Drosophila melanogaster: one gene and its partner. The protein of the gene in region 1 interacts with the protein of each later gene in a pairwise test. Each region holds a gene or a part of one and is shown on either strand. Other genes may lie near its edges.

Evidence for each region. The genes of interacting proteins can lie anywhere in the genome.
Region 2: the proteins of REG (region 1) and Teh3 interact in a two-hybrid assay, tested with the Drosophila melanogaster proteins (one large-scale study listed by BioGRID).

Annotation. Positions count from the first base shown.
Region 1 is NC_004354.4:13,210,312-13,214,066, reverse strand, and holds the start of REG (proteasome regulator gamma), read right to left. Parts: upstream 1,743-3,755; 5' UTR 1,675-1,742; intron 1,618-1,674; 5' UTR 1,479-1,617; coding exon 1,109-1,478; intron 912-1,108; coding exon 544-911; 3' UTR 1-543. Other genes in the region: sno (strawberry notch), read left to right, coding at 2,965-2,967.
Region 2 is NT_037436.4:4,182,909-4,186,663, forward strand, and holds the start of Teh3 (tipE homolog 3), read right to left. Parts: upstream 1,756-3,755; coding exon 409-1,755; 3' UTR 399-408; intron 1-398. Other genes in the region: VhaM9.7-c (vacuolar H[+] ATPase M9.7 subunit c), read right to left, coding at 3,606-3,755.

The DNA.
Region 1 (3,755 bases):
TCTGGGCGCCTGTTTCGATTTTGCGATAGATATCAATCCCCAAAGTAGAACCCATAGTCAATACGTAAAACAAGAAAACAAGCACAGTGTTACCTATTCGGAGCGAATTACTTATAAAGATTTATATTTCACACATTTTTAAGGACATTTTCCGTATGAGGGGCGCCCGTGTTATAAATTTACATTAGGAAATGTTGAAAAAATGTGTCAATGGAGCTCGCCTATTCTTTTTATGCATAGCTATAGCTATTAGTGGAATCTATACAGCATCGGTTTCTTGTATTGTACGCCAATCTCAACATTACATTCTAGACGTAGTACAAATGGATTAATAGTTGATGGTAGTTAGGCTACAGCTATTGTTCAATCACTGCTCTTCAATTAAAGAATTTTGATGTTTGTAAACCGAATTGGAAAATCTTAGCTTTTTGAGTAGCGACAAGAATTGCTGACCGTCCGCTCTACGGGCTGATTATTGATTGAAAAGTAAGATGATGGAAAGGAAAAAAAAAAGTTGAGGCTCGGGCTTCGGAAATACCTAGCCTAATACAGGCTTTCGGTATTTGAGGAGCGCGGCTTCTTTAGCTTCTCGAGGTTCTTAATAACAATGTCGTGCAGCGAGGAGTAGCGATTGCGGACCTCACAAACGACCAGCCACAAGCTGAGGTACTCCTTCTCGTCAAGTTCGACGACTGCGCGCCGATAATCATCGATGTGCGGATACTTGGCCACCTTGGACACCACCTTGGCGCGCGACAAGAAATAGCGCGATATCTGGTCAAAGAAGGCGGCCGCCTCGGATTCCACAGTTTGAATTTCGGCAAGCGTGTCCTCTTGAATGGAGACGCCAAAGTTGTTGCCATCCTCGATCTTGGGTATCATAAAGGAGATCCACATCTTAAGTAGATTGGCTGCAAAAGAAATCAATTCAGAAATTACTAGGTATTCATTAAAAAGCTTAATGTCAGGCAAAACTTTAGCTACTGGCATTTGTACCGTTCGAATGTAAAAATTCTTGGAATTCATTGTTTTAGGAAAATTGAAGGGGCTCTTGAATAGCATAAAAACATTTATTAGGTTGAGACGCTTGAATATACGGTGTACTTACAATCCTCCACAAGCTTCCTGATGATAGGCTTGACGACCTTGATCATCTCGCAGAGCGGCTTGTTGCACGGCACTGTACCGGCGGGCAGACCCATGACAGGCTGCCCAGAGACGATGACATCCACGCGCTGGCGCTTGGTGGGCAGACTGTCACGATCCTCCAACTCGTTTTTAACCAGGAGAGGCGGCAGGACCGGGATGTTGAGGTCCTGGTGCACTTCTTCGAAGTTGCGCTCGTTGAAGATCGGCGTGGCCAGCAGCTCGTTCAGCCGGACGATATTCTCCGGGAACCCCTTGGTGATTAGCAGCTCTGCCTTGAGGATCAACGAGTCCTTGTACTCCTGCACCTTTACCACAGTGTCGTTAGGCATTTCGTTAGCTATGTGGATTCCTTTTCGTGTCCGTGGAAGCCTTTGATCCTGAGTCCTGTCTCCTGGCGTAGTACCGGTTCTTCTCGTTCCTTATCTTCTCAATAACAATCAGCAACGCGGACCGTCTGAAATCGGCGGACTTTTAGGGACTTGTGTCGGCGGATTGCGAAATTGAAAGCGGGAAAACCAGACTTACCGACAAATTTTGATGCCCAAGCAACAACACGCATGTGGTGCTAGAGGTGGAAGAAAAAGAATAATCGATGCTTATCGATAGCGTCGAAGTTTGCAGAAATTTTGCAAATTAATACCCCACAAGTATCTTAAATATCTTGAATGTCAATATATATTTTTTCTATACTTTTTTTAGATTGAAAGTCTTCTAATTACTTTCAGTTTCATAAACAAATTAGCTGAACATTAAAGTTGGCAAAACATATTTAAATGCATTAATGTACATTGCAGTTGGCATCATTTATTTAAATGCAACAGCTGAAGCTCGCTTCTCATTTACCATGTTAAACTTGCATATACTTTGTTGTAACGTGATTAGAATTTAACGGATATATATCATGAAATATAAAGAAATAAGACGCGCGCCATTTATCGATAGTCTTGTGTGCACCGCGTGCCAGACCGATAGATTTGTTTAAATACCAAGTAAGTTTATTATGTCTCCCTTTGTGCAATTTAAAATGTTTTCATTTAAATATCTATATTTTTAAAATATTTTCCATATATATATATTATAAGTAATATTAAGCTATTAATATTTTTAGAGCAAACACGCTATAAATAAGTGTGCCCAAATATAAGTTTTAGTATACATCGGCATTCTTATCAATAATCGTCAAACTGACGTTTTCTCGCTTCACCATTATCGATTCTCATCGATGTTTTTCCAGCTCTATCTAGTTGGCATCTCGTTAGTTGCGATAGTTGGCATGTTACGTGTGTTTTCGGCTTCGTCGCTTCATTCTCGTCTCGTTCTCGTTTCCTTCCTCCTTTATTCCGATTCCTCGTTTTGCGTGTATTGCGCGGTACAACGCATACGAACAAATTTATCCGAAGCGAAATACCGCGTGCAGCAACAAAAGAAAAACACACTCAACAACAACAACACACACGCATGCACACACGCATGCAGTCATTATCGCAACACCAATAACAACAGGAAGAACAACAACAACAAAAACATTTCTAACGCGCTGAAAATTGCGGAGTCCAGCCTTTTATATTTGCTGCATTTGCTATCTAACTTGCCGCACAATTGTTCTGTTCCGTTGACAGCATCAAAAACGCATTGTTAAAAAGAAATTAATATATAAATTTTAAACAAAACACAAAAAAAAACCAAGAAAAGAACGAAAAACGCGTGGGTGCGCGGTCTGTTGATTTTTTTTTTGTGGTTAACAACAACAACAAGAACCATCGGAGGGACGAACATCAAGAACAACCACCGTTAGCAGTAAGCAGGAGAATCAAAATGGTAAGTTTAAGTTAGCTGGCTTTTTTGTTGTTGCCGTCAATAGCATGACTTAATATAAATTTCTTTGTTGCTAAATTTTGACACACTCACATTTACCCACACACACATGCATAAAACAAAAACAAAGCGGCTGCAGAAGCTGATGAAGGAGAATAATAATGAGAAGAAGGAGCAGTAGCCAACTCATTCAATAATTGTTGTTTCTCCTTTTCTTGCGCCTTTCGCTCTTTCCTCGTCCACCCATTTTGTTGTTGTTGCTGTTTTTTTTATCTGCAATTGTTTTCTTCTGTAATTTCTAAGGATGCATTTTATATCGCAGATTCGCGTGGCCTGGAACCATGTGTTTTTCTCTCCCTCTCATACTCCCTCTTAGCGCTCGCCCCTCTCTTTCGTGCACACACGCTGAGTTTAGTTTTGGCGTTTTTTCCCCCGCACACGAGTTAAACGAATTCAGTCGACAAAAGTTGCGCTAGGTTAGGGTTAAGGCCATGCGACTCAGGGGCAACATGTGGGTTAAGACCATGGGCGGGGTATGGGGCTATGGGTCTATGGTGCATCATTGAATTGAGGATGACAACTATTTTTCAGGGGGCGGCATCGTTTTGAATGTTATCAAAACTATGACCATACAATTTCTATTTCTACAAATGTAATTTAAATTATATAGTCCGTAATAGTGTTGCTAATCTATTCAAAGAATCATTTTTTATAAAATATGTTAATAATATTTATTTGTATCATCAATTACTGGAAATTTGATATACTTATGCCAGCTTTTGACTACTCAA
Region 2 (3,755 bases), on another chromosome or scaffold:
AATTAAAGATAATAAGGGCAAATTAGGGAACTACCTAAGTTTCAGAATTTCAATAATATGGATTCTTTGAATATAACTATACTAATTGCTCTTCTAAAAAGGAGTTAGGATGGGTATAGTCATTATTTTTGTTGCAATTTTTAAGAACATGTCGTGGGAGTATAACACCTGACTAATATCCCTTCGGTTCTAGTATCTAATGATATCTTATAAGGTGGAATAAATCTAGACTTTTCTACTTTCTTTGGAATTCGAAACAAGGAATATTGAAAATAGAGACCTAGAACACCTGGTAGACCTCTCACATGTGGGCTACCGCGAAGACTGCAAGTCATCAGAGAGAATTCATTATAGAGACACGATGTCCAGATATTAGAGTAGCGAAATATAGAGCTTACGTGACGGATCTCATAGGGCCATAACCTCATCGCCGCCGCCCCCGCCCATGTCGCCGTTGGTGGGTGCGCCCACGTTGTTCTTATTCAGGACCGTCTCCGTGTCCACACATCCTTTGAAGCGCATCTTGGCATCGTCGCCCACGTAGACGGTGGTCTGGCACATGATCAGGATGGAACACGAGACCACGAACAGAACCGATGGCACTACCGAGGCGAACACAAACTGGCGATAGGTGACCTCCAGGTCGAATCGGGCCACCACCACGTCCTTCTTTCCGGGCGAATAGAAGCACGGGAAGCGGGCCCGGGCATTGTGGTCGCTGCCATCGCGTCCGAAGTCCTTGAGGAACTCCTTGCACTCGTCCATCAGAGTGTTCACACACCCCTCCAGATTGATCATCAGCTTGGACTCGTTGGAAATGGTGAGGTCCACATCGGGTGGTGCTATTTCCGGCACTGGAGTGGCCACCGACACGTGCAGGTGGCTCAGATATGTGAAGTTGGTCAGATCGCTGAGCATATTGGTCTCCAGCGTGGAGCCATTGATGCAGTCCACCGCATCCACCTGGTCCGAGGTGTGCCTGATGAAGTAACACGATGTCATTGCTACATTTTCGCTTGACTCGTTCCACACCTCCTCCAGAGTTTCGGCATTGATGGCATTCTGGCACTGCGACAGGTAGACCTTGTCCCCGCTGAGGACCACCACGTTCTTGTTCCGTGTTGGGATGTCCACGCACCTTCGGTCACAGTTATAGGGAGTACGGATCTTCCGGCACGTTCCTCGACTGCAGGAGTACAGCCCGCTGATGTCCATGCAGTTGATCTTTCCCCGCCTGCCGGAACACTTGACTGGTGCATCACTGTTGTGGAAGATGCACTCGAAGGCATCCGTGATGTTCAGACACTGGCCAGCGGTGCAATTGAAGGTGCCCGTGAGATTCTTGCACTCATCATTGATGCACCTGGCCTTGTCCGCGCGATCCTGGTCGATCCCGTAGCACGTTTTATTGGCCGAGTTGGTGCAGTTCTGGAATATGAGATTGCTGCCATTGCTGCGCAGATTCACATAGATCTGGATGCAGGCTCCGGAAGTCTTGCTCAGACACCACTCGCCACAACTGCCCCACTCGCAGTTGTCCTTGTTCACCGCCCGCGTGGTGGTGCACATCACCGGCGTGGGATCGATGCCACTTTTGAAGGCCCTGGTTGAGGGCATATATATGGCCACCGTGAGGTAGACGAGAGCCACCGAGCTGAGCACCAGGGTCATCTGGCAGATGCATATGGTGCCGCATATTCGCGTGTCCTGCGGTGGAACCACCAGGTCCTCAACGGGCACCTTTTTCTTGCCCATTTTTTAACGCGCGACTACCCTGTAATTCCAAGTAGCAAGTGGGTGGTGGTCACTGGTGCCTCCTCTGGTTAATCCCTGTGCTGGTTAATCCCTCGCGTGCAATCCAATCCAATTAGAAGCTCGTCATGTCGGTTTTTAGTCTATCGATTTAGCTGCAAAGCTGCGTGGGCGGTTTTGTATGTTGTGCGGTTATATAACCCTGCGTAGGTTGAGATTTTCCACCGACTTTTCAATGGGTCCACAAAAAAAGGGAAAACTGGTTACTCTGCAGGCTGCGCACGTTTCCAGCTGGAGGACACGTTCCTTGGATAGGCCACAAACCTATCGATTTTTGGCTAGCTGACCCCACAGAAATTCACTTTAATCACTGGGCCCATCCATACGCGTTGGTTGCATCACGTGCCAGTTGATTTTCCTGTCGATTTGGAGATAGAATTCACACAGTTCCAGGAATTCCGCTTCTTTTTACAATTATCTGGCTATTATTGGGATTTATAATTTATGTACAATTATTTCTTAATTCTCGAGCAGTGCTGTTCTGTGGTAATTATTTTTTCCCTTCGAGTTACTGGCAGCTGGTGGCTCGTGACCCAAGGCTTTCTGCTCCGCACTGGCGACTGCATTCGGCTCGGCTCTGGGTCTCCGGATTTCACAGCTCTCTAGTAGTGCTCCAGCTCTCCGGCTTCTCCTCACTGACCGCCGACAACATGGCACACATCGTGGCGGGTCTCGTGGAATTCGCTACTCTCCGCTTTTGGCATAAATCTCGGCTCTGCGCGCGCACTTTTATTGCAAAATCAATAGTTCCGCATTCACATATTGCTGAAAAGAGCAGGACACCCCGCTCCCCTGCTGCTCCTCGAATACCCCGCTCTCTCGTTTCCCTGCCCACAACCGCCAAGTTGGCTCCGCTCGGGCCATTCCCATTCCCTGCCAGCGTTTCCATTGATTAAGTCGGCCTCCACATGGCCAAGAGTGCAAGTGCACCGAGTGCGCCATGTGCGGGGACTTTGTGTTTTTGCTCCAGTTATGGTCAACCACCGGGCACGCCCCCTTCCACATTAAGGCGAAAATACAATAACCCTATTCGGATGCATTGTTCTAAAAATAACATAAATTGCACTTCCGAAATGAAACATTTTCATACTAAACAAACTAAACTATATAATGGGAAAAAAGAATTCTGAAAAACAAATATAAATTAAGAGAAACATAATATTTAAGCTAATATATGAACTATAGATTTCGGGAAAAGCTAAATGGGGCGTAAACTTATAAATATACATTGCTAGACATTTTTGGTTTTCAATGTAAATACTAAAAACTAATAATAAATAAACACGAATAGGAAAATAATACGAAAAAATTGTTCTATATTTGCCAATAGCTAAATCACAAATACAATGACTGATTAGTAAATTATCTACACTACGGAAAAATAGGTAAATAATAATCTGACTACAAAAATCGCTCATGTGGCAAGTTTGTTGAGAATTAAATTGCAATAATTGGATTTTTGGGTGGAATACATGGCTTATGTTTTGCAGTAAACATAAAGAATATGGTGATCAGAGATATTGAGCTATAAGCAACAACAAAATGTACAGTGAAAGTTTACGTCCAGAGGTTAATGTGGTTAGTTTGGAAATAGTGGGGCGTATCTGGGGCTTGGATAGCCGTAGCCCAACCTTGTCCACTTGCTGCCAGTATTGAAGTACAAAAAGGGTTTGGCGAAGCCACTGCTTCCGTGGTTTCACCGACTGTGTGTGATGTGGCTTAAGATCCGGAAATACGCGGAAGAAGCAACCGCCAAAGATTAGCTAGGTGGGAGATTCCTATGTGGGCTTTCCTTATCCCTCCTTGATGGGATTTCCCCAGGACGAGGCAATGATCCGAATGGTGTTTCCATTGAGTTTCGGCCCCAGCAGTGGATTCAGTTGCGCCAAATAGCAGCACAGCCAGAAAAGCCAGCAGACGACGGCGGTCAGAAGGAAAATGCA